2 linked regions of the Styela clava genome follow. The protein of the gene in region 2 interacts with the protein of the main gene of each other region in a pairwise test. Links are inferred from orthologs where the notes say so. Each region holds a gene or a part of one and is shown on either strand. Other genes may lie near its edges.

Region 1 (16,061 bases), on a different chromosome or scaffold from region 2:
ATGTCGGTCTTATTCCATCTGTAAATTTACCAAAAACTCCACAAAGAATGAACAATGTGTATTATCGATGAAATGAAAAGTGACATATAAAAAATACAGCTGTAGAAAATATTTTGCATTACAGAAAAATTAGTTCACATATTAAATATTTTACATTACAAAAAAAATGGTGCTCCAGAAGTATGTGTACCAATATGAAGGTAACTAATTTTGTTCGCCTACTTTATATCAAGTTGTGTAAATGGACTAAATTCTATCGGTAGGGGGATATTCACTTGTGTAACACAGACAATTCCCGAACTTTTAATAGAACAAAAATAAGGAGAATCGTAACCTAATCTGGTACACATACTACGAGTGTACCGAAAAAACAGCCCACATAATAAAAGCAGTTATGGAAATACTTTACAATACAGAAAAATTAATTCACATAGTAAATAGCAGACAAAGGAAATATTTTGCATTGCAGAAAAAAAAGCTCACATATTTAATAGCAGTCATGAAATATTTCTCACTATTGATTACAAAAGTATAATTGCATCCAAATCCACAGTATCTATACGACTATATAAAGAATCGTTAAAATTAAATAATATGCAAGAATCATATTAATAACAAAATGTATTCTAATCAATTTTAATATATCTAAAACAAAATCTTCATAAATATTTTTTGTAAATTCACAATACATGAAAATATGTGAAACAAACTCAGGTTCTCCATTACATAATACACACATTTCATTCCCTGCTTTTCTTCCAATTTCTGGCTTTTGTTTTCAATGACAAGATATCCCAGAGTAATTTATAGTTAAAATCAGTATTTTTAATAAGTAAACGAATAGCTCGCAGAGCCATGTGATTCATATGGAGGACAGAGCTATGATTGAGAGAGGCCGTGGTTCGCCATATATTTAGGACTTCTTTTCGGCTTTCCTCTCCCCTTGGATAAATATGTAAATCCCATGTTATATTAATTAATAAATACATGAATACCCGCACTCCTCTCGGCGACTGGTTCATATTCCGTTCTGTAGATACGTTTTCTGTCTAATAGATATGCATTCCCAATAAGCATATGCTCATAGTTGTATGCTTTCAGCGTACCATACTTCGAAACCCAAAATCAAATATGTATTGAAGAATTAAAGACCTCAAGTCAAGTTAATACGGCCAATTTCGCACCCGACTCGGCTGAAGCAAGGGATTTTGGCAGCGAGCAATGCGTTTTCTTAATATGCAACGAACCATTTAGCTGGACGACGTAAAAATGCAGGGAACAATGCCATAATGAGCAAATCTTTGCAAGTTTCCACTCATTGTATATATGCTCATTGGTTAGCATTAAATTCCAAGTAAATATTTCCACATTTCATGATTCGATCGGCGCTACACGCGAGCGTGTTTGTGTATATATTCACCAAACACCGTCAAGAAAACAGAGGCGAGCTACACGTGACTGTGGAATTTCGCTGTGAACGACGCATTGTTTTTAATTTATACACTCCTCACGCCCTCGTGAATTGAACTTTTGGCGCACTGTTTTAATTTCATCATAATTTTAAATTTCAATGGCAAGATATCCCAGAGTAATTTATAGTTAAAATCCGTATTTTTAATAAGTATACCAAAAGCTCACAAAGTCCAGGCAGCCTAGGCTTTATCGGCTTTCTTCTCCCCCTGGATAAATATGTAAGTCCCATGTTATATCACTGAATAAATACAGCAATAACCGCACCCCACGTGGCGACTGATTCATATTCTGTTCTGTAGCTACGTTTTCTGCCTAATAGATATGTATTCCCAATATGCATATGCTCATAGTTAGTATGCTTTCAACGTACCATACTTCGAAACCCAAAACCGAACACGAATCGAAAAATCAAAAGCCTCAATACGGCCAATTTTGCACTCGACCCAGCTGAAACAAGGATAGGATAGGATAGGATTTACATATTTATCCCGGGGGAGAGGAAAGCCGATAAGACGCCTTATCCATATGGCGAACCACGGCCTCTCGTCCGGTTACCATTCCAAGTCGGGTATGGGATTAGTTATATATTGTTTGTTTACGGAAGCATGAACTTGGTGGTGGAGGAAGCCGTAACCGACCATCGGTTACGTGAACCACCCAACGACGGCGAGGAGGCCAGCAATCCTCTCGCACATAACCATTCCTGCAGGGGATTCGAACCTGCGAACCCACGCAGAGTAATTAGAGGTGCGGTGGCGAGCGTATTCCTAACGCTTAGCCCGTTGAGCCACACCGCCGCGCCAAGGGATTTTTGCAGCGAACGATGTGCTTTCTTCATATACAACGAACCATTTAGCTGGACGACGTAAAAAATGAAGGGTACAATGGATTAATGAGCAAATATTTGGAAGTTTCCACTCATTGTATATATGCTCATTGATACTATACGTACAGCCAACATAACAATACGGAATAACCATTTCCGACAGCCAAACAAAACGGAAACGTATGATCCGACTTGCAACTGACAGGAGCCAAATGAACGTTTTTGTTTTTTTTGCCGTCCAGTAAACAGAGTCACGTTACCCGTGTCCCCTATATTTATTATATATCTTTTAACGGGCCTAGCTGATTTTTTTAAATAATGTGTTCCGATTATTTTTACATGGTAGCTTTTCTCTAGTTAGTTTTTCGTAAATTGTATTTGAAAGATTACTTCTCGGTTATTCAGGACATGTAAATACTTTGTCGTTAAATTTTAGAATGATTCAGATTCAGATATTTTATTTCGTCATGCATGAAACATTATCATCAAATAATTATAATAATAAATTTAAATAAAAAATAAAAGACACACAATGACTCAAATTTCTTCTTGCGTGCGTCTATGATTTTATATTTATTTTGACTTGTTTTAAATCTTAGTCTTGCGTAATTATTTGATTGCTATGAAATCTGCTATTCTGGTGTACAATAATTTATGTCTGAAATAGTTATAATCTATGGACCTTTCCCCGACCTTTGACCCTCGAAAAATTACTCCCTATACTTTACCATGGCAAAATTTTCGGGGCTATTTTAAGAGTGCTTTTGCGAGTTGGCGCCTGTAAAATAGGGTATGTGTTTCAAACCATCATTATGATTCATCGCATACAACAATCTGTTTTTTTTTTTAAATTACCGGTAAAGAATTTTAGCCTAGTCTCTCACAGCTATTTCTACACTAATTTTTTATTACTGCAATTAAATTAAAACTTCTAGGAAGACAGAGTGATCATTGAATTATCTGATTTATATTTTAAGTTTCCGAAACACAACAGAAAACTAACGAATAAAGTTCAAAAACGCAGAAACGAAGTAAAGTTTACGACCACGCTTTAAAATCTGTCTGAGTGAAAAAAGTGTCTGAGCGGAAGCGAAAAAGAAGCATTGTTACGTCACTTTTGCATCATTCTGATTGGCCAATGTCCCCAAAAAAACAAGGATGTCGATGCTCGGGGAAAGGTCCATTGCATGGCCAAATAGAGTTATTTATTGGACACGTAGTGGACATAACGATCGTTTCAATATTATGTTGTTGTTGTTGTTCTTGTTCTTTGACACGTTTTTAAAAAGTCGCTTTTCTCTTTGATTACTGGACTAATTGCTTTGAAATTTTCAGTGGTTGAAGATGAAATTTTTCTCCAGAAGGCTATTACTTTTATTTATTTCAAATATTTCTGTTAGCTCTGTAAGATTTGTTTTTGTTTGCTATGACGTCACTAAACGTTCTAAGGATATCGGACGCCATTTTGTGTCCAACGGACCATCTTGCAATTTCAATTCACGCTGTCACAAGACAGGAGTTCTGGTACCGTAACACAGCGCGGTGACACTGAACTAACTCGTAGCTGTCAAAAGCTTGAAAATCCATACAAATATGAGAAATAAAAAGATGAAACTTGGCAGGTGGGTAGAGTTGTGTTTCTTTTAACCATATTTGAAAGTTTCGCGTTTCTACATTTGAAGGAGGGGGAATAGGGGGTGTGCATTTCCGATACGTCGATAATATCTTTGTCAACCAATTTGCGATCACCGTGTTTTCGTCTGTTTGATTGCTGTGATGTTTTGCTTTGTTTATAATTTAACGAGTTTTGTTCGAAATAACCGTGTTCTTGAAATATATGACGGCCAGAAATGCAATTAGAAGCCCAATGTTTGCACGCTGTCACAAGACAGGAACTTCTAAAGATAGAGTAGTTCTGGTACCGTAACACAGCGCGGTGACACTGAACTAACTCGTAGCTGTCAAAAGCTTGAAAATCCATACAAATATAAGAGATAAAAAGATGAAACTTGGCAGGTGGGTAGAGTTGTGTTAACCATCTTTGATAGTTACTTCTCTCCCCCGGGATAAATATGTAAATCCTATCCTAATACGTCGATAATATCTTTGTCAACCAATTTGCGACCACCGTGTTTTGTCTGTTTGATTGCTGTATGGCTGCGTATGCGGTAGTCTCGACGCAGCAGAAACGATGATCAAGGCTTGAAATCCGTGGTCGCACACTGGTCGTTCGGTCGCAAATACGTCTTTCGAGTGCCGTACTTTGGGGATTTGTATAGCTTTAACCCTTTGTCGTAGAAAGTTAATACGAGGTTTAGCGTGTAGAATAAATGCCGCCAATGCACCCACGGTGAAAAAATTAATGGGTTAGATATATTGGTTTTTGTTTTATAGCGGTTTGAATGAAATTGTCCGCAGACTGGCTACACCACCCTAGGCCTGGTGAGTTGTCCGTGTAGTCGAATTGTCCAACAGCCCTAAACGGCTATGACAGTCACTGTACCAAAAATTGTACCCCGATTCGGCTGGTGTTAAGTTGACGCATGTTATTTAGTAACGTTTTTATGTGAAATGTTTGACTGTGGTTCGGTACCTGATCCGATAATACGGTACATAATTGACTCATATCACGAGATATTTCAACTGATGTTTCAATTGTCACAGGACCTAAAATATCTATGACAGTCCCTGTACCGTCACGGTACCCCGATACAGGTACTGGTAAGTCACCGCCGGTATGTTAGTCGTTGGTCACCGCATATGATTTTTGGGGAATTGTTCTGCGTGTCCATATATTTGAGCATTGCTCTCTTGTTGTCTTATCCAATGGCGCCCCTAGCGAAACGTGTGAATAACGCCATTGCGCAGGACGGTACGGTAGCCTACATTCGTTGACTCATTCGTTACGGTAAGTTAGATAAGCAGGCTCATCTGCGGAGCTACGGTACCGGTAATTCTTTACATTGAATTACGGCATCCGAGAATCTGGAAAACGCCTAATAGCATGATGAGCGTTTTTATGATTATTTGTCTAATTCTTTAAAAAAAATTTGTTTTCCATTTCCCTAAATGCTAATATCGGTTAAATTTATAATATATATAGTATAACTACTGAAAATGAAAAAAAAATGTATGCACAATGGTCACTGTATTACATGGATTGACATTTCATGAATGTGGACACAATTTAAATTGGATATTTGAACTAATATGGGTAAATGTAGGCCTATCTGGATTATTTAATATTTGTGATTATTTATCTATCAACTATTATCTATGAACGAGACTCGGATATTCGGGTCGCCTGAATATATTCTATTTCCGTATTCTCTTAGTATTTAATGTTCGTTATTTTATTCCTTTATAAAATTTGATGTTAGACTTCCTAAAACCATTACTGGTTTATCGCGTCTTCCTTCACACTAAAATGCATTTTTTTCTTTTTTTACTTAATCCTATTCGTATCATGTGTATTTTCGGCATGTGTAAAAATAAACTACTGATACTGATATCATGTAGCCTATTGTATACTTATCACCTAAATTAATTGGAAATTGGGATTCATGCAATTAAATTGACATAATATATCTGGATAAACCAAAACTATCATTTTCATAAATCCGATTTAGCTATGGATTTAAATTTTTCAAAAAAAAAAAAGAATTAGGGCACACCGACATTATTCCATACGATCATGGTCCTGAATAGCTGTTCGGCTGTAGGCGGATAGTGATGCAGTCTTGTTTGTTTTATAGACTACTCAGTCAGTCCAGAGACAGAGAGACCCCGAGAATACTGGCATACGACACCTATTTCCCTCACACTCTGACACTGGCAGACTGGCGAACCATCACCTCACTCTCAGAAATAAAACAGTTCCTCTCCTGAGTAGGCTATACTTATACCCATATTGCATATAGAAATTGCACCATATTAGTTTTCAAGCCGCCAAGGGCTGAAGAGTACAAGTTAGCTTTTTCAGTTTGTCCAAAGACGGTACCGTACCTGTACGAACTGCTGTATAGTCTGATAGTCATGTGTTCTAAGCTTGTTGACTAAATCACCTTCATTTTTAGCTTATGCAATAATATATTTCTATTCAAGGGATTTTTAAATATTGAATACATTCCAAATTCATTGGTTACAAGTTCATGTGGAAAATTACATTAATCGTTAACATTATATCCTCAACGAGGGGGGCGAAGCCATTTTCGATCGCGAGCCATTTTATCAGTCAACGCCGAGTAAGCGGGCCGCACAACTTTTAGTCATACTATGATGCCTATTAATTTTCATAAACTAAAACGGACAACCAGACAACTGCATCCATACAACTGAAGTTATTTAATGCAGTAATGATATATTGCAGTATAAAGAACATTCATTGCATGTTTTGCCTAGTGAGATATTGGAAACTTTTTCGCTTTACTAAGCGCTTTATACTAGGACGAACTGGCGATTTGGAAACTTTCAACTGCATACTAAGATTTTTATCTGTCAGTATTGACCTGCTGACCTGTATCGATTGAGTTTGGTCTCGGGTGGCGTCATCTCACTCGGCCGGCTGTTGGAACTGAATTTCCGCTTAAAAAACGCAGCATTTTTGACTCGACTAAAACAACATGAATATAAAGGTCAATGTTTTTTCTCTTTCGTTTTTTACTAGTTGAGATATACCCGTTTGTCTGACAGCTCAAAATCCACAATTTGTCAATAAAAATGTTCTAAATTTTTCCTAAATTCAAATATTTGACTCAGAAACGAGGGCATCTAACACGAAGGCAAATGTGTAAAAACATGCCATGTTTGTCTTGATACCGTAACAATATGAATCAATCGCGGTGTGCAGCGGCCGGTGCATGACCAAACTTGTGTTTTTTGCAATTTAGATTATGCATTCTTTCAATATATTGTGTGGTGTCGGTTTGTCAATATGAGGGCCTATAGTACTGTGTATATAATACATTCACTGTTAAAATTGATGCTGGGACTATTTATAGAATCGGTGAACTGTATCATACTGTAATTTCATCGCTTGGCATTAAATAACTTCGGAAATTTAAACATTTTTGGAAGAAGTCTCAAACACATTTATGTATCATTAAAGGAAAAGTAATATGGTCCACACTCGACAATGATAAATATTCCAAATTTGTCTTCGGATGAGATATAAAGAACAAATCATATCTTATTAAAGAGAAGTAATTTAATAGATTCTAGTACAGTCAATTATTTCTGTGTGATGTTTTGGTATTCAGAAATCTACAGACCTAACCCTAGTTCTTTAGTATGGTGATAACATCAGGATATCTAGAAAAAAAACGGTGCTCCCGAAGTATGCGAACCAAGATGGCAGACATCGGAACGTAACATGGGTAACAGGTTAGGGTTAGGCGATAATTTTTTTCCAATTTTCCTCATTTTAGTCCTATTATCAGTTCGAAGACTAGCCAAGAGCCTCCCGTAGTATTTATACCTAAAATTATGGCCTAACCCCAACCTAGTACACATATTACATTCCGATGTCCGCCATCTTGGTTCGCATACTTCGGAAGCCCCAAAAAAACAATATGCTTTGAAGATTAGGATTAGGAATTTCAATATGATATTTTGCTATTAGTGTACCACCTCACAGCTGCGGATCATATATCCATATTACTGTGTTGTAACTGTATTAAAATTATCATTTTTCTTGATATTACAGTTTTAATATTATTTTGCAGCACATTGCAAATAAACTTTGTAGTTCAATATTTTCAAGTGATGTATTACAGTGCGTCTTATTCAGTATCGGGTTGTTGATGACCGGATTGGCCACTGCTTGTTTTCTGCAGTTTGTTGACAATCTAGAGGTCAAAACCAAGTGCTACTCCCTGAAGTAAATACACAAAACAGGAGGAACAGAAAATTCAAGATGGAAAACACATTCAAAATGAAAGTGAGCAAAAAAATCTCATCTTGATCTCTATAATTACAACAGCTAACATTTACTACTTTAACCTTCAGTAACCATGTATTGATGTAAAAATTGCAATCAATTTTTTGGTGTTAAATTATATTTTTTATAAATTGCGTATTAGCTTTGTAACAAGAGCATTACGTGTCAATGACAGCCTATCAACGGTTCCAAAAAAATGGGCGGACAAATTGAAAAAAAATTACAAAAATATAAATGATTTTTCGTCCGGTTTTCTAATCGAAGTTTGAAGCGATATTTGCCAGAGTGTTCAATGAAGAGGCACAGGATATTAAAAATCAAGAAAATACGTTTTCCTCATTTTTTCAAAACAGTTGTTTCATAATCTTTGACACCGCTTTGGTGAAGCCCTCGATATTGACTCGGATTTCCACAAATCACTGATCGGCAATTTGTTTTTTTATAGTCGATACCAGAGAGTAAACTGAAGGCGTTCAGCATTGGACGAATGAACATTGTGAAGACCGGAATGTCTAAAAAGGACAAAGAAGAAATGAGAAAGAAAGAGGAAGAAAAAAAGACTGCGGAAGTTTATAGCGAGTTTGTTGCGTCATTTGAAGGTGACAAAGGCCGTGGTAAAGCCTTTGTTCGTGGTGACGTTATAAACCCTGATGAAAAAAGTAAGAAATATTTTCCAATAATCAATTTTCTTGGAATACCAAAGCATTTCTGACATTTTATTTTCCAAATTCTTGTACAGCTGGCAACAAAAAGGGAAAGTTGTACAAGCCAACATCCAAACTACAGGAGCTTGTGAAGAGTTTCTCCACGAAACCTGATGTATCAGTGTCAACACCTGGAAAAAATATGAAACCAGATCGACCAACTATTAAGGTTCGTGTATCAGTAAAGAATCTTTAACAAGAGCATCATGCATAGTTATATGACTTCATTTTCTAATCTCAACTAATCATTGCTGCCGTTACTTCGCTAGAAAAAGGACGATAAGAAAAAGAGCAATTTAGAGCTCTTTAAAGAGGAACTAAAAATCATTCAAGCTGAACGTGAACAACGACATGCTTTCAAGAAAGATCGCAACTCTCATTCCACAAGAACATCATCATCTACGAAAACTGACAACCGTCAAAAAGCAAGACCATCAAGGTTTGAAAATGTGAGCTCTCCGCCAAGGGATCGTGAACAGGATTCTTCTTCACGTATGTTCATATAATTAATCTTTTTTTATTGTTGTCAAGCTTCCACCTTTTCAACAAACTTTTGGTTTTTACAGTGCTTGATGAACTTGTACCAGGATCACACGACAGCGGGGATCCTATGACTACAAATCTCTTTCTTGGAAATGTCAATCCTAAAATGGACGAACAAATGCTTTGTGGTGTTTTTGGAAAATACGGTCCGCTTGCAAGTGTTAAAGTATGAATTTTTTTTTTTAAAAGTTGCTTGAAACAGAACACAATTAGGATATGTCGGTTTTATTTATCGTATTTTAGATTATGTGGCCAAGAACAGAGGAAGAAAGATCAAGGGAGCGTAATTGTGCGTTTGTTGCTTTCATGACGAGGAAAAATGCTGAAAAAGCAATGAAAAACTTACAAGGTTGAATTCTCAGTTGTTTATAGCTAGTACAATATTTATGTAGTACATGTGTTCATGAGAATTCTGATGAATCATTGCAGCAATTTTCATGATAAATTAATATGTTTGAAACTAAAGTGATTTGTAATCAGTTGTTTCCTGATTGATTCATGTACAAGATTTATGAAAGTCTTGTGAAAATGGCTCAATAAGTGTTACTTTATCACTTTTGTGTATCAATTTCATTGAAAGTGAACTTGTTACCTTGACCCGATTTGATTGTCATTTTATTTCTTGTAGGAAAAATGACAATGGACTATGAAATGAAGTTGGGTTGGGGAAAAACAGTACCAATTCCACCACATCCAATATATGTCCCACCTATCATGCTTGAACGTACTTTACCTCCGCCACCCTCTGGACTGCCTTTTAATGCTCAACCAAAAGATCCCAGCAAAGCATCGGGAGAGATTGGAGTAGCTCCGTCATTTCGTGATCAAGAAGAATTCGAAGATGTAAGATTTGGTATCCATCAGCTTTCAGTTATTTTTTTTTTTTTTCTAAGATCAGAAACATAATTTGTGGATATGTGAATGACCTTGAGATATTCACCTTTCTATCTAAATTTCCAAGTACAATAGCTTTATATTTAAAAGAGTTTGGAAGTTTTAGTGCTGAAATTTAATTAAGGGATAAATGATTGAAAATAAAAGATCGTTATGAATAGGAAATATAGACTCTAAACAGAAATTTCGATTTGGCATATTATGTATTTTCGACGATTAGTAAGTATTGCCTTCAAGATATTTTTCTAATTAAATCTTGAAGTCTTAGCTCCTCCTCCTGAAATTAATAAACGCGATGATCAGGTGGTTCATTTAGAAGGGATAATTTTTCAATTTCAAAGTTTTTTTGATAATGTTGTGTATTCTCCAACACAAGTTATTGATAAGTTATACTTTATTATATGTTTTATATCATTTCCTAATTCGTGTTTCCCTGTTATTTTACCATTGGTGGCTTCATCCCGTCTCTCGCATCATCTCTCTATCTGTTCAAAACCAAAGACACTGGCAAAATCAGTTGTGAGGGTGGTAATCCCAACTGAAAGGTATCAGTATCTCACAAATGTATTATTATATACATATTACTTAGCGTAGGATTGTTTTTGTGTTGTGTGGTAACTAAAGTATGGTAAGTTTATAGCAGCCGATCAAGTATGCCACTGGTAAATCTGAAACATTTTGCCGAATATTTTTTGTGAAGTTACGTAAATCAAATAGGATTTCCTAAATTTTATTTTTATCGATATGCATTGATGCAAAATTGGTTTAAATGAGTTATATTCTTCCACTGGTGCTTGTACAATTCCAGATTATTGAAATTCGTTTTTTTATTTAAATAGTCTAATTTTGCAGTACATTTTTGCATTTATTAAATTAATTAAATATATCCAAAATAAAAATACAGCATTATTGAATTTTTCCTGACTTGGGGCTGCGTTTTAAAAAGAGAAGCCCCCAAACTTTCATTTATTAATTTTTCATTTGGTTCTGGTTAATGCTATGTTTTATTTGAGTCCCTCAAATAACAATCCCTCAAATCACAGTCAATTCAGTTTTTTTTTTGAATCAGTGAATTCACACATTGAAATTTGAAAAGAAGAATTATAGAATTTTCGAACTAAAGCCATTGTGATTCTCTTTTGTTCCAGCAATTCCGACAATCTATCTGATAATTGTGGTGTTTGGCCTCTCGTAGGCTAGTTTTCCTATAACCCGCAATTTATTGCAGGAGCGTCCTTGTTATTATTCATCGTATGATTGAATTTGTCGTTCGTGAAGGACCGATGTTTGAAGCAATGATAATGAATAGGGAGATTAATAACCCCATGTTCAGGTATCTTATATATTTTGTTTTGATCTTAAAAGATTGCTAATAATAGGTATATCGGAGAAGTTGGAAATACAAATGGTTATAGTTCTCTATAAAGGATTGTACAATTTTTCAATAAATTTTATTCCCCCAGGTTCATCAATTTTTGCAGCTTTTCGATATTAATTATAATCCAATCATGTTCATCTACTTCACACGCTCCATTATTCAAATTTCAAAAATATTAATTCATATATATTTGGATGCAATCTGTATTTCATATATTACATGTTCCATTCATTTTTGATTTGATGTATCTGTAATTTTTTTCTGAACTACCCACATGTCCAAATTATATAATTCATTTAGATTCAAATTGTTAATGCTTTAGTTATGAAAGACGCATAGGTATCGATATTAGAAGTTAATTAAATTAATGACTTATTTGTATTCCACTCAAGGACCCTTTCAAACATATAATGACTAATAGTGTGTCGGATAATACGAATTCAAGATAATTTTCTTGATTGCACTCTCGTAAAGAAACTTTTCTACAGTTTACATTATATTTAAATATTGTATATTTCAGATTTTTATTTGAGAATCAGAGTCCTGCTCATATTTATTACAGATGGAGGATGTATTCAATATTACAGGTATTTCAAATAAGTCTAATGAAGGATCTAGTTAAATTATAATTCTAAAGCAGGGGTTCCCAAACCGCGGCCCGCGGGCCAAATACGGCCCGCGTAACGATTTAAAATGGCCCGCCGAGCTTACGTGAAATAGTGTTCAACAGATTATATTTCTACCTTTTTTGCGATCTAGATACCGCTAATTTATGTCATTATCAGAGTTCAAGCAAGTGTTTATCGTAGCAATTCAATTATACCAGCATACCACTCATAGGTAAGGATGCTAAGAATGATTACTTTCAAGTATTCGATTCTTACCCGGTTCCTAAATTTTCGATTCTGATTCTCGATTCCTTGACATATCTTTCCGAAAAAACATACCCACCTAAGCAATACCATATGAAATCAAACCAGAGAGCGATGTTCCAATATATGGACGGACAAGGAGGCCAAAACTAAGTAGTATGGGTATTCAATCTGTCACAGGAGACTAAATCGCACCAAAAAAGAGGAATCCCTCAGAAATTTTAGAAATAAATAAACGTACACGTAAAAGCCTTCTAGCGAAATAAATATATATAGTGAAGTTTGCGGCGCCGTAGCAACTCAACTTAGCAGTAAAGCAGTTCATACATACATGCGAAGGAGTTGCCACAAAACGTTACACATTGTTTAAAATCCAAAATTCAACCTCGAGAATCGATTCCAATGTATCGGAATCGATTCTGGTCGATTCCGCAAAGAATCGACTCTGTAATCGAACCCGGACTCGATTCCGTCATCCCTACTTATAGATACCGGAGTTAGGATTACATAGGGCAGTAATTTAGTTATCAGCCATATAGGAAAGCTTAAAGATGTCAGAAATCAAACGAAAACTAGACTCAGAAAACTAACGTTTCTTGGATAAATGGCAGTGTTCGTATTTCTCCATTGAAAAAATTTCAAATGAAAGTGAATCCACTTTTGGGCGCTACATTCTTCCGGCCCGCGAACGTCTTTCCGATTCTAATTTCGGCCCGTGGTTAATAAAGTTTGGGAAACCCTGTTCTAAAGTGATGGTCTACAAAATTTTTTCCTGGTCTACATCATTTTTACATTCCCAAAGCTTTTATATCTTTATTTTTTCAGGGTGAAACGGCCACAAAATGGCGAACCCAGGATTTCCGTTTATTTGAAGGTGGGTCAATGTGGCGTCCTCCACCTATAAATCCATATGAAGAAGTAATGTCAGATTCAGAGTCGGGAGATGAACAGCAGACGACAGAAGTCGAAACAAAATCTATAAAGGAAGAAAAACAAAGAAGACAGGAGTTGAAAGATGAGTGAGTTATTTTTTGAGTTCATATGATTGATTTAAATTTTGGTCCAGAGAATCATGGGCCTTGATGATATATCAAACATAAGTATCAGCTTCCTTACTTCTATTTTACCTTAGTCTCATGCATCCTGATTTGTTTTCAGTGTTTCACACTTGCGAATAAGGCTTTTTAAAGCATATTTTCATGCATCTACAAAAATGCTCACTTCCGACACAAAGATTTTTTATTGGGTATTTTACTAAGCTTCACTTCGAACCACGCTTTAGACAAGTAGCCATCTATTGCTATTTGAAGCAGTGGTTCTCAAACCGTGGCCCATGGGCCAATTACTGCCCTCATAACGATTTAGAATTGCCCGCCGAAATTAAGTAAAATAGTTTCTCAATTTATTATTTTGCGTTCTAAAAAAGCACGCTATACTCGTAAGCACTTGTATATTCGTAACAATTTAATTATACTGGTACCTTAATTATACATACCGGTATGGGCATCTTGCTGACGCTCCTGGCCCGGAAATATTCTTCCACTTTTAATTTTGGCCCTCGTTAACCTGGGAACCTCTGATTTAAAGGATTAACACTTGTGTGTGCAGCAGTGCCCGCCTAATTTATTGATAAATATTAATGTTTTAAGTCCAACTTCCAGTTTATTATCAATCAGATTTTTACATTTAAGTATACTGTTTGCAGGGATCGAGATAAACTGGAAGAAATACTTCGTGGCTTATTACCAACACGACAAGCGATTGCTGAAGCAATGGTGTTTTGTCTTGAACATTCTGATGCAGCAGAAGAAATTGTAGAATGCATTGCTGAATCTCTTTCCATATTACAAACACCTTTGCCAAAGAAAATTGCTCGTCTTTATCTCATTTCTGATGTATTATACAACTGCAGTGCGAAAGTTGCAAATGCTTCTTTTTTCCGAAAACAGTACGTAAAAACTAATTGGTTTAACTTCTATTAAAGACAAATTGTTTGAACTACAAAATTGCAACCAATTTTTTAAGTAACAATTTTATGCTCAGAAATAAAAATGCATTAGTGTATTTTAAATAATTGTCTACAAATTATGACCAAAAAAAGTATATGTAAATCGCAGCAGTTACTTGTTGTTTATTTGTGCGAAGAATACCATGAATTGGGTATGTTTCAGAGGTATTGGACTCTAATGAATTCTTGATTTCAAGATATTCTGCAATATATTTGTTTAAACGATAATTTCTGACATATTACCTAAGTAATTGTGGGTGATAATAAATATTAGAAATCACGAAAATGTAATCATTTTATTTTTCTCATTTTTGTTTATCCAGCTTTCAAGCCAAATTACAAGAAATCATGTCGGACATCCATTCATGCCATGCTAACATCCAGGGAAGACTTCGTGCAGAGCAATTTAAACAGAGAGTTATGTATTGTTTCCGTGCCTGGGAAGATTGGGCTGTTTATCATGAACAATTTCTTATTTCACTGCAAAATACTTTCTTGGGTCTTCATGTAGTGGAGGTTAGTATGATTGGTTTTGAGGAAAGGATTAATTAATATCGACATGCATACCATCTGTAAATTCATATTTTAGGAACAATGTTGATATCATCAAATATCTTCCAGGCATTTGTTTGTATAAAAATAAATACTGCAATATAATGAGTTGTATCGCAGTCTTGCAGAACTACGGTGATATTAGTCATTTTTAGATTCCTTAATTTATTGTGTTACGTTACGCAGAATAAGACCATGAAAAAAGAGGCTGATGACTCAATTAACGGTAAAGAAATCGATGGTGCTGCATTGTTCAACTTGGATGTACAAGACAATGAAGTAGATGGTATTCCTATCGATGCTGGTACAATCGATAATGATGTGGATGGATTGCCGATAGAAGCAGCAGAAGATATTGATGGAATCCCATGTAAATACTAAAGTTTTTTGGTGCAATTCTGCATTGATTAGCATTTCAGGATTGCAGGTTTAGTTGCCCAAAATCTAGTTAGTATAAACAGAATAATAGGTTTTAAATTTTGAAAATCTCAATAATATGTATAGATGTTAAAAATAATATCAAATTTTAAAGATTTTTCACCACTTTTGTGTAGTTGTTTATTTATCATTCTTCAGAAATGGCATTGAATATGGATATGTGGTCCTAGTATGCATGCACAATAGCCCCTTTGAAGAGCCCACTTTCCTTACCTAGTTTTGCCTATTTAACACGATTTTCATCAGTTATTTTTTGTGACATGTTTAATAAATAAAAAAAACTGCAATTGAAATCAAAAGAATAAATGCATTACATTTAAAGTATGTAACAAATCACTGTCGATTTACTTTAAATTACTGTAGTCGTCACGAATTGGCTAGTGAAGGCCTTTTCTTATGGCACCTAGAGGACTGCTCCATGGCCTCTAGGGGGCA
Region 2 (16,954 bases):
TCTTGTTTTTGAACAAATTCTGTGATCCAATCGGGTTCTTCAGAAACGTCAGTTGCTTTTGTTGGAACATCATCATTTGTCTGAGGAATATAAGGACATATATGGAAAAATAGTGATGGAAATAAAGGATTCTGCAATCATAACAATGCCATATTCCTTATTTTTTATTTTACTTTGATTATTTCCAAGTGAAATATTGTATGGTCACAAAATGAAACGAAAAATTGAATGAAATGGATCATCTACCTATTTATCAAGACCTAAGCAATTACTGAATTAAATAAAGAGATGAATTGACCATTATTAAAATCAATTCATATTTTGCAAAGTAGGAAATAGTTTGTTTTATCTATTCCATTTGTTGATCTGCTAAAATTTATTTTACTATACGAAAACATTGAATACTGAAATACGAACTTCTGTTACTGCAGTTCCCTCTTCAAGGATTCCTCGAATTCGTTTGTCATTATCCTGGAGCCATTTTAAAGCTCCACAAATGATGCTCATTGATTTCCCAGTTCCTGAAAAATATTCCTATGTTCATATTTTATTTTTATTCCTGTGTGTGGCATGGATGATTTTTCGCAACTCATTGAAATTTTGGTGAGTAAATACAATACAGAAATACCGCAAAATTAGAAGTTCTTTTGATTGTCTCGACACAGAAGATAGATTATCGAATCTCTCAAAGACTAAACTGCAATTCTATTGTTCATCTCTGCATCTGCTAGTAGCCCACTGACTGGACCATGTTGTTTTGCGATATGACTTCGAGAAGGAACATATGTTTGTATGTTAACCCTTCGACATACGGACATATAGCAAACGTCAGAGGGAAAATTAAAATAAAGAAACAGAAATATTCTATTTAGTCAATCACTATAGTGGATTATCATCACAAATATTGCCTGCTTACAGACTTACCAGTGGGACTTTCGAAAATACCAATTTTCTCATCTTCAATTGCCTCATAAAGATTCCTCATAAAATCTGTTTGTATTCCGTAAGGAACGAATGGGAACGGAAAATTCTTAGGAGCTTCCATCACAAGTTGAAATCAAATATCAGTGCACGGTTTCAATAAGAATGCAATCAAGAAGCAACCTCGGAGTTCAGTCGAATTCACGGACAAGGAGAACGAGCGGAAAGGTACTTTCCAGCATTCAAGGGAATCACCGAATCCTTAAAGTTCCCGCCACTCAATTCTTTAGCTCAGCACATGGTGGCGTATTTTAAGACTCTCTCCAAGAAAAGAAAAAAATGTTTTTTTTTTAAAACCATGACTGTGATATCAAATGTATGCGAGTAATTATTATTACTTACTAAAACATGATAATGGTTACATTGAATTAATATCTCGTTCAGTCATCAAATTATAGCTGAAATGACCAAATGTCGTTATCACAGATTGATGTAACCGAACAACTTTCCCAGCAGTTGGAGACGTTTGAGATTAGATTCATTCCCGTTGTGTGTTACTTATGTCTTACTTATAACAAAAACAAACTTAAAATAACGCGATGACTAACATATCAATATAGTAATGTGTATTCGAAGACTGATTAACATAAATATTCATGGGTCTGGGATATTCAATACCTACGTTTCGCTTATCCTTCCTCACACATATTCAATTCCTCATGGCGAACCAGTCTACCGTCAGACGAACAAGCTTGGTTGTCTATTGAAAGAGTTAACTAATAATTCGACCCAGATACATGGGCTTAGATATAACATCACTACGCGCATCTGTCATGAAATCCTCAAATGATTGCTGACGTTCAATGAATACTAAAACTGGCGTGGGTAATCTGGCGCATGCATATTTCCATGTATTAAACCTTTATAAAGGGTTTGCCAGTTTCCCCGATATTCCCAATCTTCCGTGTGTTCATTGTTTGTGTTTTGTGTATGATTTTTTGCGAGAAAATCAAAATATACTTATACCTATTAATAATAGGCTATTATTATACTAGAAACGTTGATCTGACCCACACTGGCAAGAAGTAGGTGTGAATCAGATGAGCTCTCTTTTCGAAAGAAGAATGCATATCTATTCCAGCGTTGAATGTTGACCACTATCAGTTGGCTACAGCATCCTTGCCTTATTATACGCCTACAAATCGTCAGCATAACAGAGCAGGACTAAATACAGTTAGTCTCGCGTTGTAACCCAAACTTATACCTTCAGTGAAATCGAATATTACCAGTATTAAGTCAAATTTAAATGACTGACGCTTTTTGACAGTATTAAAGTTATGGTGAAATGCTATTTAAAGGTTAGGCGACTGACGCTTTATTAAAGTATTGTAGTTACAATGAAATTCTATTGGAAAATTAAACAACTGACGCTTTTTGGCAGTATTGAAGTTACGGCAAAATGCTATTTATATGTCTGACGCTTTTTAACAGTATTAAAATTACGGTCATTTAAGTAGCATAACTTCAATGCTGTTCGAAAGCGCAAAAAGCATGGTTCAAGCCGGAAGGTCTATACAAAAAACCTAACCACAGAACTTCCCGCGTGATATGGACAGTAAGACAATGCACCATGCACGTATACCATAATTTTGAGATCTGTTAACAGAAGAATCCATTTTGCACAGCATTGTCCAGTGAGAATATAAACCTTAGATCGTCATATCAACCTAACCAAAAGAACAAGAAAACATCACTCCCTTTGTTTTGAATTTGTTGGATTTAAGGAGTTCAATTATCAAGCACCAGGACATAGCATTAGTGTCTTTTAGTTGCTTGTTCACGATGAGATGGGACAAGTTTATTTATTGTGCAACCTTATGTGAAGTTGTGAGTGCGGTAAAAGTCGAAAGACCTTTTTAACCTGTATCATATCTATCTAAGCATATCAACATTGCTAGCTCCGCATATTCGCTTAATTCTGCTTGGAAACCCGTACTTGTCCACAGGAATCAGCAGACCCCAGCTAATCAATCTTAAGCTATCAAATTGAACTGTAAAAAAATTTTCTTTAGATATTACAAGAAAATAAATTCATAAAACAAGGATTTATATCAGTCCCGGTGGACGTATTGTACTTAGGTAGACATGGCATGATTGCATGTTTCAAGTTCGAAGTCCTTGCTTTTCATGACCTGAATCTTAGCATTTTCCTCAGAATGGCGATATTCTTGCTTGCAGCGAACACATTGTTCCCATCAGATGATATGGAAAGCTGTTAGTGGCAGTCAGCTCAGAGAGGATCCCCAAGGTGTAGATCACGAAATTTACTAACATCGTAAAAGCAAGCTCTCACAGTCCTTCCGCCAAAATATCTTCCATTTAAATCCACAACTGCTTTGATCGCAGATTCAAGTCTTTCAAATTCTATAAATATTCTAACTGCTTCTTCTTCTTGTTGTCCAACCATTTCATATATCATACATCTGTAAATAAAAATTGAATTCACTGACAAGGATAAAATGAAACAAGCCAAATGACAGAGAATTATAGAATTCCATCTTGCTTCAAAATCTAATCTTAAAATAAATCCAGTTCATAGCAAATAAATAAATAGTAGATCTAATCAAACCGATGGAATTGCGCAAACTTACTTTCTAACTTCCCCATATTTGCTGCATTCTTCCGATGTTTCACCTTCTAATTCTTGATCAACTTCTCCAGGCCCAACCATGTTACGAAGACAAACGACCTGTAGATTGAGCATTGATAAACATAGAAAATATGCCTTATTTATACCATTAACCAAATGTGAAAAAAAAACAGAAACAAGTAAAAATACCTTTGTAGGATTCTTTAACAAATTAGCTACACTTTCTTTTTCTTCCTGTTCCCTTTTCTTCTCTTCTTCAAGTTGTTTTTCAATTTGAGAACTTGGTATGATTTTACCTCCTCGTTTACTTGTCTTCTCAACCTATTATAAGACAACATACCAAAAGAGAGACTTTACTTTTAGGAAAGCTAATGCTTCTTTCCAGATGATTCTATGCAATCATAAGTGTTGCTCCAGGTCAAACGATTGGCAAAAAGGATGTACTTAAATGGCTGCAATCAGGGATGAGCAGCCTTGAGCATTTTCTGCACTATTATATTGCAGTACGGCACACTATCCAAATTCCAAGAATTCCCTCCATTTGGTTCAATAAAACAAACACTCCATGCGTCTCACAAACGAGGGGCGTGTGGCACCAAATCAGATCATGCCATGCTTGTCTCAATAATAATCTAAATTAATCGCAGCCGTCATGTGATCAAAATTGCCGTTTTTCGGTAAAAACTTTCGTATGCCAGGATAAAAAAAATTTTTCTTCTGTAAATTGGATTATTTTTTCCCCGGGGAATTCAATGATGACGTTATTAGATTGCGTTTTTTTGTAGTATTTTGTGCAACTGCCAACTTCATTATACGATATATGAAAGACAGCAATGTACAAACGTCTCCCAAAAGAGGGGTGTCTGATCATCTGTAAAATGGGTTTCTCTGTAACGAGACAATGTCACTTGATCTGTATAGTGTGCTGTACTGTATTGGTAAACTTTTGGAAATATTTTCTTTTGTGATTCCCAAAAAGATTTTACACTAAAAATAGCCCCAAATTACAATTCTCAACTAATAAATTAATCTTGTTTATTTCATTAAATTTTATTGAAACATCTTTGTATCGAACACGGAAAATGTGACAAACCTGTAATGCATGACTGATGCCCCTGTTTCCTTTTCCAAGACCCAATCCTTCTTTAAATCCATATTTTGTCATGATTTTGTGTGCTACAGAACCTGCCATATTTCGTGCAAATTGTGTTCCAGCTCCACCTACAAGTAATGCATCAAGTGTTCACTATTATCGAATAATTGGATAGGAATTCTTTTGAGGAGGAATATCAATTAAGTAAAAATATTATAATTCCCTAATACTATTAGTGAGTCATGAAGGATAAAATTTACTTCATATAGTCTTCTAAAAATAAAATCTGAAATTTCTCTCTACATAAATTACACCCTGTTAAATTTCAATCGACACTGACACAGTTTCTATATGGCTAAAAATGAGGCCTTGAATACACAAACACCTCCTAAGCCAATAAGTATTTACTGTTAGTTTAATGAATTGGACTAGAATTTTCGTTTAATATACGGCTTGTTGAAAAATGAAGATATTGAAACCTGCTAATGCTAGAGGAGGCGGTGGAGGAGCAATTTCAGCCTTTTTATCTTCTTCTATAAGAATAGTTGGAGGTGCGATTGCAGCTTTACTTCCCTGGGTCATTCTGATACGTTTTTCTCGTTCGTAATCATCATCTTCTTCATCCTCGTCAGATGCAGGTCGTCGCGAAAATCCACTTCCTGGCCCACCAAACCTACCTGTACAACAACAATGGTTACATATATAATATTTCGCTTTCATGAAGTCATCATCAATGTATGTTGGTGCCATAAAAGGAGTCAGTCTCATAGTTAGCTGACTGTTTAAGCCCACAGTAACTGAAGTTCACATAAATTAATTTCAAGAGTGTAAATGATGGTTAGAATATGTCTAAGCACATAATATTTATCTACAAAGTAACAATTGCAAGCATGTCTGGAACCTGATCCAGAGTGGGTAAAATATGAATTTTCTATCACTTTCCGCATTCAAAATCCCCTTTTTCTTAGAACTATTTCAAATTGATGTGTATGTGTATGTCATTCAACTCCAAGAACTTCGAATATTAATTGAAGCACTATAATGTCAGTAAAGATTAGTAGGCTTTTGATTACTTTTAAACTCTTCTTTAGAGTGAACACAAGATATTTGTGATCACTTAAGGCTACTATCCATCAAAAATTATTGATTCACTGATTCAAGAAAAACTAATATATGGGTTTTAAAGTATTCGCAATATCACGAAAATTGTATTAATCCTACCATGGGGTGCTCGATCATCTCGTCTGTTATCACGATCCGAATGTCTTGAATCTCTTCTTTTCCGTCTGTCCTCCATTTCTCTCTGCCTTTCCTCTTCTCTTTCCCGCTGACGTCTTTCTCTTCTTTTTCGTGTAACTTTTTCATATTCATTCGGATACCTAGGATCGTACTCATCTTCAAATTGATCAAGACTCTCTCCACCAAGAAACGGACTAGGCTTTGTATCCACTAGCTATATCATTGAAATGCAAAAACGTTTAAAATATGTTGCTTAGTAATATACGAACTTATGAAGATAGAACATCTATTCTAAAACTGCACAGCTCAGCAGCTAGAATCACGAACCAATCGGTAAAAGTACCTGGAAATTTTTTATTTAAAAAAGAAATAATCCACAACTTTAAAACTAACTTTGTCATCATGGCTGTAATCAAGCTGTTCTTCTGTTTTTACTGCTTTATTCAAATTAATCACAGGAGCAACAACAGGGTTCCCACTTCGAAACTTCTCATGCTTTGCCTTTGTTAAAGCTGCCTTTTTTGCTTCAAGTTGAGACTTTAGCATTGTGAAACTGGAAGACCACCCGGTTGCTTTTTCACCTTGATTACTATCCAAACCTAATCCATCATAGAGAGACATTGTTCTTGCGTTTATATATAGGCCTATTCTGAAAACATACCAGAGAATGAAATTATTTTGGACATTATGCAGTTATGTGTTACAGAATCACCCTGCAAGTCGAAACCGTGTTGTCAAAATGGGAGGAACACTCTTGAACATTGAAAAAAACATTTATGGTCATACAATTCGACAAGTGCAAGTATTCTGTGGCGTCTGCAGCTGCCGCAAAACCATGGCAGTATTTCCATACCATGGCCGCTACAGCCAAACCTATGGCTACTGACTTTTTAGCTGCCACAAGCACAAACCAATGACGAGCTGCCGTTACCGCGGCAGCAAATTGAAAGCCAATGGCAGACCACTGTGAAGCTAGTAGCAATTTGACCTTTGTGTGCGGCGAAGCGGAAAGGGTAATATTTAAGGCAGAAATGGAGGCGCGTGTCAGAATCTACACCCAAAAAAATGAAGATAAACGAAATTAGCATACTATTATGGGAAATATGTTTATAATTTGGGAAAAATAACAAGTATATAACCAAAATTAAGAATAAAAGCTAAAAGCTCGATTCTAAAATGAAAAAGGCTTAGGTTCTAGTTGTGTGGAAAACTTCAGGTAATCTTCTTTAATGGGAAATAATCAAATCGAATGCCTCTTGTGCGGAAGGGTGTGCTGCTAGGCTTTGAAAATTGACTAAATTAGCTTTTTTCGCTATACGTAATTTTCCAAATAAGGTCATTTTCGCTATGAGAATACCCCAGATTCTAAAATAAAAAAGGCTTAGGTTCTAGTTGTGTGGCAAACTTCAGGTAATCTTCATTAATGGGAAATAATCAAATCGAATGCCTCTTGTGCGGAAGGGTGTGCTGCTAGGCTTTGAAAATTGACTAAATTAGCTTTTTTCGCTATACGTAATTTTCCAAATAAGGTCATTTTCGCTATGAGAATACCCCAGATTCTAAAATAAAAAAGGCTTAGGTTCTAGTTGTGTGGCAAACTTCAGGTAATCTTCATTAATGGGAAATAATCAAATCGAATGCCTCTTGTGCGGAAGGGTGTGCTGCTAGGCTTTGAAAATTGAATAAATTAGCTTTTTCAGCTATACGTAATTTTTCCAAATAAGGCAATTTTCGCTATGAGAATACCCCAGATTCTAAAATAAAAATGGCTTAGGTTCTAGTTGTGTGGCAAACTTCTTTAACATAAAAGAATCAAATCGAATGCCTCTTGTGCGGAAGGGTGTGCTGCTAGGCTTTGAAAATTGACTAAATTAGCTTTTTCAGCTATACGTAATTTTTCCAAATAAGGCCATTTTCGCTATGAGAATACCCCAGATTCTAAAATAAAAAAGGCTTAGGTTCTAGTTGTGTAAAAAACTTCAGATAAACTTCTTTAACATAAAATAATCAAATCGAATGCCTCTTGTGCGTAGAGTGTGCTGCTGGGATTTGAAAGTTGCCAAAATTAGCTTTTTTGACTTTTGTAAATTGCATAATTTTGTTTGTACCATTTTTATAAAATTATCGTGTATTAATGACACGATTGCACATAATTCTGGAAATTTGTCATCTCTTGAATAAAAAATTAATATTTCGCGCCACCAATATAGAAGAGACGTTATGCTGATCTTCAAAATATCCAAATTACGATATAACGATAATGTACGACATATAATAACCTGACTTCTGATTTCAGCGCCAGTGAGACATATTGAAACAAAACAGTTTTTACGTTCTGTTTATTGCATGTGTTGAAGAATTTGCTTTATACTACAAAATGCATGTGAAACTTCTTAAATTACTAAGACATATTATAATGAAGTTTAACGTTTGTTACGTAATACAATACACAGTTTGAAACGAAGTAAAGCACTTTTACGGCTACGAAATGTTGTAATTTAGTAGGCTGGTTTTGAAATATTTTTAAAGTTATACAAAAATGCTCGGGGCTCTTGGTTGAATTAACACTTTAGCCAAATAAGCAGCGCGCATAAAGCATCACGGAATGGGCACCATATAATTTTTTATCGGTATCACAGTGTTTAATAATGTAAATCGAGTTGGTCAGACGATTTGGACCTCAACTCAATGGCTCGGTTGATATTGCTTATTTCTCTTAGTTCGTGTACCATCTTGCACCTCTGTATAAATGTTTGCAGGCATGAGAAGTATTTCCAAAAAATGTCACATAAATTGAACATAACTTAGCTTTTAATTGGCAGTTATTACCGAAACCTATGCAGGTGACATGGAACACTCGTTTCGTTATATTTTCAAGCTTATATGAATACGTAATCTAACATTTTTTGTCAAAATATTTGTCCTGATCAATTTTATCAGCCGAGTATATTTAATTTCGACAACGTACTATGACAAATGAAACTGCATAGGCGATCAAACCGCCGGGATGCTTTCCACTCTGTATCCTAAGTTGCCGTCAAATATATTTGAATTTATTGCTTATCGTGATGTACTTCGTGATGTATTTCTTCCACAGCCTGTCTACAAACTTAATCATTGTTCTCTGTGTGGAATTTAGGACTCGCCCATGTTTTACGCCACCACCCTTCAATAAGCACAAAACTGTCATTTCACCCTTCAATGAGCAAAAAAACGAGATTATACGCACCGCTGCGCAAAATTAGAAGAAGGTTTGCTACTAGCTTCACAGTGGTCAATGGCAGGTAAAATTTTGCTGCCGTAACCACGGCAAGTGGACCATGAAGACAGGGCTATCCCTTATGGTGACAAATATTGAGTTAGTTGGTTAGGATTTGAGTAGATATAATTCCGCATGATTTATACCGGTACTTATCAGCTTATATTAGTAGGGTGGCTTAGCCACTTTGTGGCCATTAACTTCATTGATTTAATAATAATTAATGCGGAAAATTTAACGAACCGTGGCGATATTCCACACGCGCTTTCGTCCACTAGTCCTCGTAGCTCTGCAAAATCCCACTCAAATTCCATAAACAACGAAAATACGACCAAAAAAACGACCTAGGGAAAAAAACGGACCAAATTTCTATGTCGTCAACTACCCATTGTCCTTTTGAGAAAGCTTGGAAATCACTAGAAATATAATAGATAAAATGATGAAACTTGGCACGTTGGTAGGGTTGTGTTTCCTTTGACCATCTTTAAAGTTTCGCGTTTGTGCAATCATGTGTGCAATAGGGCAGAGCCATAATGGCTCTGAATCACTGAACTGGAAATATATATTTATATATCTCTGTGCTCTGAATAGGGGAATAGACCTCAGTCATTCAAAACCCATCCTACGCGCGAAATAGAGGTATAAATTTATTGGACACGAAATGGACATAACGATCGTTTCAATATTATGTTGTTCTTGTTGTTTGACACAGACTAACACACCTAGTGAAAATATTAAAAAACCGCTTTTCTATTTGATTACTGGACCAATTGCTTTGAAATTTTTAGTGGTTGAAGATGAAATTTTTCTCCAGAAGGCTATTACTTTTATTTATTTCAAATATTTCTGTTAGCTCTGTGAGATTTGTTTTTGTTTGCTATGACGTCACCGAACGTTCTGCGGTCGCATAAGCACTCGATTCTTCTGATCACGTGCCATCGAACGTCGGTGGTTCGTAAAGAAGTCCTTGCTGTTTGCTACGATTTTTCCTTACGCGGTCTTACCGGTACTACTGTACTGCAATAAGGTTGGTTTTCCAGCAAATCTAGCCTACCGTATTAGTTAATTTTGATAAGAGCAAAATCGGTTACACTGAACTAACTCGTATGCTAAAAGCGGGGCTTGCATTCCCTGTTATAACCACGACAGTCTCTGCGCTGTACCGTAACCGTACCGTCTTAGCGGATGCTGGAATTGAAAAGTTTTCTGTGGGGACGGTACGGTACCGCCTTAGCGAAAGTTGGGAATTGAAAGTTTTTTATGGGGACAGTATTGAAAGTTTTTTTATGGGTGCGATACCGGTACCGGTAGACTGTCAGACTTAAAAACAAACCCTACCTAATACAATACATACCCTACCTAGTACCGTAATAGAGTAGAGTTATCAGTGAAAATAAGAAGAGTCTATTTTGTCGTAACTTTGTCAATTTTACCATAGCTTACCGAATTCATTTACTTGTAGTGCGTCTGCAGGGAAATTCAATTATTGTCTCTTCTTCTTTATTAATGCAGTAATGAGAATGTCTGTACAATTGCGATACTTGTTCTCATATTTTGCTGTTTTGTTACGTTTTTTCTGGAAACACCACAAATGCAGAATTATGCAAAGGAAGGAGCATTACAAACTTTACAAAAAATTTCAACATGCTGACATGTGCAGCAGGTAAGTGTAAGGGCTGAGCATATCAAATGTTTAATAGTGAAATAAAGTCAGTTCATTACTGGTGCCATAACCTGATACCTGCGGTAAAATTAACGTCTAACCTAACGTATATCTTTTTATTCTCGCAGCTGTCATGTTTATTCTTTTTTCATTACAGTTTTGCTGGAAACAACAGAAATATGCTACGAAAGAAGCATCTTAACTTATCCGAAAATTTTTAACATGTGGCGCATGTAAGTCTTGATGCCAGAGCACACCAACTTCATTTCATTTACATGTTTACTGTTATTTTATTGCAGTCAAATTACCTTAGTCCATTTTATTTGTATTCCTGCAAGCTGCAATGTTTATATTCATTTTGTTGCTTTTTTGTTACAGTTCTGCTGTAAACACAGAAACAACAAATATGCCAAGAAAGAAGCATTACAACTTTTTCAACAATGTTCAACATGTTATGAAATATGGTCGCGGTTTTATCAATGCAAAAAATATTTGCCGGTTTAACAGCGTGATGCAATTATTGCAAATAGTTTCCGTGTCCATATATTTGAGCATTGCTCTCTTGTTTTGACTAGATTATCAGCAGTAGACGATAAAATAATAGATAAAAACAAAATAACTGATTATGAATCGGGAAAGCAAACATAACCTAAGCAAGGTTTGAAGCGTACAAATTTTAAAATGGAAAAGTATTGATAAAAGAAGTAGTACGTGTTCGCTCACCCAAAAGTATAAAAAAATATTAAAGCACCCACGCACACTCATCGAAACATGATAAGGTTAGAAGTTAAAAAAGCGAGACTTAAAATCAATTAATTTACTCGGTAAAAAGAAAAATATAAAAACAAATTAAAATATGAATGAATACTTTTGCCACACCAAATTAATAATTCCATGAGGATTGCCATATTGGATACCGAATTAGTCAAAAACAGTTATATACTGTAGATAGAAAAATATTCCTCAAAAGATATCGTCAAGCTGATTATAATTGGAGTCACCTAATGCCAAATTGCCCGATCAGAATTGCCAAGCTGGATGCATGAAGAGGTGGGCTAGATCTGCTTCACTCACTAAATAGAAGCCAAATTAACGTCCAAATTATTTTAAATACTATTAATCAAAAGTACCGGCAATTATAATTAAAATTAATTAGGGTCGTATGATACAGAGGTATGAAGATTGGTTACGGGAATATATAGGTTGTTAAAGGTTCAAGTAAGATTTCTAAAGTCGCGGATTATAGGCAAGCAAATTTAATTGAGGTTGTTGATCACTTCGTGATGGACAAACCGCTACCTTTCAGGTCTTTCTTCTTACCATATATTAAATTTTTTGTCGATCTTCTGACAAATTTAATATTGATAGGGTTCTTCGGGGATTTTGACCTCAACTTATGGGTGATGTCGATATCGAGTTTGACAATGGGACTGTCAAGCTCCAAGTTGCTGTTTAAGGATTTTACAACGAAGTCCTCAAACTGTTCGTATTTCGTTTCTGGCACGGATTTGCTGTCATGACGAATGATACACTTTCTTCTGAAACTTTTTGACGTCTTCAGATCTGTTGCCATGATCTTCTGGGGCTGACAGTTCGTCTGATCGTTCAAGCAGCTTTGTCTGATCGTTTCAGCAGTGGCATTAATTAGTATCAGTAGTTTATTTTTACACATGCCGAAAATACACATTGTACAAATAGGATAACGAAAAATGCATTTCAGTGTGAAGGAAGACGCGATAAACCAGTAATGATTATCGAGCAGCGTCACCTATAAGGAAATCGAACATCCAAAGGAAAAAAGTCAAATATTAAGAGAATACGGAAATAAAATACATTGAGGCGACCCGAATCTCGTTTGTAACAAAGGAAGCAAGCGACTTCAGTCAGGGTGACCATGTCAACCGCCGCTAAGAAACCTGGTTCGCCAACTTCGGTACGGGCCATTGTTTTTTGGGGCAGTACCTCATTCGGAAGACATTAGCAAACAATATTATTGAAATCAGGATCCGAAAGGGGTTTTAATCTACACTTATGAAACTCTACAGTGGCATGGCGACAGGGTGCTGAAGGCAAATTCATACAAGAAGCAGTAGTACAGTAAAAGAAATCAACTAAACAAAGGTAAACATAAGGGTCTAGTGAAGTAGCCTAACCGCCGCAATCATCTTCTCTGGCCGGTTTGTTACTGTTTTTCGACTGTCAACAATTCTTTCGGTATCGGTCCGTCGCATAAAGCACGTTTGAATTTGTTGCTTGCCGAATTATAGTAACGACGGCATATCTTAAATTTTCAAGAAAAATATCACTCATTGTGATGCCTAAACGCGGGCCTCCAACTACTTTAACACATGAGGAGGAAGAATCATTAAAAACATTTTTTAAGGACATGCCAAAAATGAACTCAGGATAGGAAAGAGTGACGTGAGACATATGCTGCTCTTGACCAAATCTAGGTGAATGTATTTATTCAAATAATTATTTATTTAGTTGCTTCAAACGGTGAAAACATTTTAGATTTACCAGGAAAGCATGTGAGGTATTTCAACAATAATCTTCCCAGTGATTCCAGTTGGTACGGATTATTGTCTCGTAATCCTGACCTAAAACTGATGTCAACTGAGAAATTGTAGGTGGCGCGAGTCATTGCTGGTTCCGAGTGAAGGGTAACCAGTTGGTTTGAACAGTACACGACAATGTTGGATAAAAATAATATCACGAGTGGAAGCTGTGTATACAACTGCCACGAAAGCGTATTATCCTTTCAAACGAAGGCCGGTAAAAAAGTTGTTGCCTGTAAACGAATGCAACAAAACAACACAACTCTCAGTACTGATTTATATTAGTGCCAGCAGCAACGTTCTTTCACCTTACATAATTTTTCCCGTCAACCGCATGAATCCTTCTCACGCACTGGATTTTTTCGAGGGAAGCAGATGTCATGAAATCGATAAAGGTTGGATGACTAAAGATTCATTCTATGACTGAATGGAGGAAACCTTTATACCTAATTTACCCAATAAGTCAAGAAGAGGGGCCGTCGTGCTTCTTCTTGACGATCACACGTCCCGCAAAGATTTTTGCACGAGCACGTAGGCCAGAGAGAACAATATCATTCTTTACTGTTTGCCTGCCCACACTACATGTGGCGTTTGGCCTCCAAACATTGGAGCTGTGGATTTAGAAAAAGCTTTACCGTCCACCATATTTGTTGACGATCAACAATCTCAAAATCCACAAAGCCTGAGGTCCACAATAATTTTCAACATCAGATCTGGGAAGTGAATGACTGAGATTATGGACGTAGGAACTGTCTTGGATACTCTCGACGTAACTCCAATGTTGCTTGCTGACCCAACGTCTGTTGAAAGTAAAAATATAGAATCTCTAAGAGTGTTGGCGTCCAATGAACTACTAGACCAGGGGTCACCAAACTTTTTTGACCGCGGGCCGGATATGACTCAAATTGTGTTGAAACGGGCCGGATGAATATTTTTGTCAATGCAATACAATAAATTCACAAATGTTGGGAATATCGCAGAATATAGATCGAGAACATTCTAGGAAAAAAAATTAACATGATTTCCAGACATTTCCATTTCGAGACAACTATCCTGAGTTTAGATGTTATCAAAACGTTGCTGTCATGAATTAGAAATGTTATAAAATCCGCGGCAAAAAATGTATGCATCACGTCTGCTAAGTACCGTTACGCCGTGTTGAAATACCGCTTATAAAAACGACTGCCTGCTGTAGCTTGGAATTCTATGAAATTTTGACATAATTTAGATAAAATAAACAACTATTATCTGGTATTTGATTTTTTCATTAGCGCATAAATTTCCCAACATTCGACGCTTTTAAAAACTACGCTCCAGTTATACGTAGAGCAAATTAATGATATTGTCTATGGACACCAATAAAATTTATGTGGACGTGTGTATTTCTTTCCTAACTTGATACAATTTTTATGAAGTTCGTACAACCAAAACATCGTTAATTATTACCCACAATGAACCACTGTCAAACTATCATGCACTCCAGCGTTTATTTACGACGATCTTTTGGCGGTGTCAATGACCGTTGCCAGAATAAAATCCTGAAATAGTCTCAATATTCCATAGATGTGACGCACAACAAAAGATTAGTGATTGATATGTGTTATTTTTCCATATTTAGTTCAGTTCTTATCAAAAAAGTAATACATTCATTATGGAAAAAATTGGCCTGTCGGGCGGTACTAAAATTCCGATATCTCCGTTATTTCTTGATCATTTATTATAAACTTGGTATTGTTTTCTATTTTTACTCAGATCTTCCCACTGGAGCAGTTTTTATTTAAATCGGATGAACTTCAATTTTTTTGTAACATACCTACATGAATATCCGCATTAAAGCAGTACAAAAGTTAGTGTGGCTTTTGAAATTGAAGCAGTACGCGAGGGATTACAGTACTGTTAGCACAAAATGCACATTCGACGTTTATTTCAGCACAAAAAACAAACAGTTCCGTCGAAAGCACGCGCCACGAGTGTACAAGTGTATCGCAGAAAACGTTACGTACTGGTAGTATTCAAAGTTGCAAAAACGAAGTTTTGTTTTACAACCACGACTGAAAATCTGTCAGGGTGACAAAAGTATCTGAGCGGATGCGGAAAGGCCTATTATTACGTCACTTTTTTGCATCTTGTCGATTGGCCAATGTTACGAAATAAACAAGGACGACGATGCTCGTGAAAATCTCCCTTTGAAAAAAATTTAGCCATTTCTGTGTGTTATTGCAGACCGGATAAAATGACGCCGCGGGCCGGATAAAATGACGTCGCGGGCCGGATCCGGCCCGCGGGCCGTAGTTTGGTGACCCCTGTACTAGACCATGGGGTGTCGTACTCGGATTTTCTTTTGTTTGACGGAGAGCAACCTGAAGAGACGCTTACCACCTTGAATATGTCTGATATGCAAAATGACGACCAGATGTTTACATCACGATCATCCGAATTTAGTTGTAATACATCAGATGACGTTAAGCTAAACCTAAATGATCAGAGTATAAATGCTGTAACATTCCCGGCTTCTAAAATGTACGAGTGTTTGTCACCAATTAATTCTAAGTGCAGAAGAGCTTTGGATGCGTTGGGAAGAGATATAAAACGACACTGTTTGAAAAGAAGTTAGAGTGTAGAGACATGGAAGGCAGTGGGGTTTATATCGCATGAAGACACCTGAAGTTAGAGACTTTGAAAGAACTAGAAATAAGAAGTTTTTGTGTTGATACGGTTTCGACAAATTTGCCTAGAAAATAGTTGTTTAAAATACAAGAAAAAGCCCGTGAACAATTTCAAAATTATTCCTCCGTATAATTTGTCCTCTAATCGAGATTCGAGATAAAGGGTGCACTTGAGAAAAAAAGGTTAGTTGAGGAACAAAAAAGAAAAAGGGCGGACAGAAAAGAGTTAGGAAAAATTCAAAGATTAGAAAAACAGGAAACTATGAGATTAGATAAAGCCAAAACTATGAAGAGAAGTCGGAATTCGTCTACAAAACAAAGAGAAAAAAAGAAGGAGGATTGCGCTGTATGTAAGTCAATGGTAGGTCTGATAAACCACGCTGGATTGCGTGCGATAAGTGGTTTCATCTACACTGCACGGAGCTGATTCCATTGCATCAGCAGTGGAGGGACTTCGTTGGTTTTGCTGCAAATGTTTTAGAATACATTCTAATGCGACTATACGAGCAATAAAAAAAATCTTTAAAAAAAATGTTAAAGTTGATTGTGTGTCTTATATTCTTATAGTAACATTTTCATTTATCAGTAAACAAAAAGTACACCAATGGTCATGTTTAAATCAAAACATAGTCTTTAAAGAAGTGCGAGTGATGTACGGAATACGCTGAAGCGAAATGTTTCTAACATATGACGCAGAAAATTCAAAATATCACATATAACAAGAGAGCAATGCGCAAATATATGGACACGCAGAACAATTCCCCAAAAATCATATGCGGTGACTTACAAGTACCTGTATAAACAGAGCACCACATCACAGCAATCAAACAGACAAAACACGGTGGTCGCAAATTGGTTGACAAAGACATTATCGACGTATTGGAAATGCGCACCCCCCTATTCCC

What was found.
Region 1: the proteins of splicing factor 45-like (region 2) and U2 snRNP-associated SURP motif-containing protein-like interact in binary tests that used the Homo sapiens proteins (3 or more experiments, as listed by UniProt). The link is inferred for Styela clava from reciprocal best matches to the Homo sapiens genes RBM17 and U2SURP.

The regions. Positions count from the first base shown.
Region 1 is NC_135258.1:18,777,245-18,793,305, forward strand, and holds the start of U2 snRNP-associated SURP motif-containing protein-like, read left to right. Parts: upstream 1-7,985; 5' UTR 7,986-8,213; coding exon 8,214-8,237; intron 8,238-8,682; coding exon 8,683-8,896; intron 8,897-8,976; coding exon 8,977-9,110; intron 9,111-9,210; coding exon 9,211-9,433; intron 9,434-9,507; coding exon 9,508-9,650; intron 9,651-9,727; coding exon 9,728-9,833; intron 9,834-10,112; coding exon 10,113-10,327; intron 10,328-10,879; coding exon 10,880-10,923; intron 10,924-11,606; coding exon 11,607-11,711; intron 11,712-12,276; coding exon 12,277-12,343; intron 12,344-13,453; coding exon 13,454-13,647; intron 13,648-14,333; coding exon 14,334-14,576; intron 14,577-14,959; coding exon 14,960-15,152; intron 15,153-15,374; coding exon 15,375-15,558; intron 15,559-16,061.
Region 2 is NC_135252.1:14,904,561-14,921,514, forward strand, and holds splicing factor 45-like, read right to left. Parts: upstream 6,576-16,954; 5' UTR 6,525-6,575; coding exon 6,297-6,524; intron 6,118-6,296; coding exon 5,886-6,117; intron 5,342-5,885; coding exon 5,144-5,341; intron 4,793-5,143; coding exon 4,665-4,792; intron 3,893-4,664; coding exon 3,761-3,892; intron 3,671-3,760; coding exon 3,573-3,670; intron 3,405-3,572; coding exon 3,212-3,404; 3' UTR 2,946-3,211; downstream 1-2,945. Other genes in the region: ATP-dependent DNA helicase DDX11-like, read right to left, coding at 1-80, 418-521, 925-1,045. UniProt on the Homo sapiens protein: Splice factor that binds to the single-stranded 3'AG at the exon/intron border and promotes its utilization in the second catalytic step. Involved in the regulation of alternative splicing and the utilization of cryptic splice sites.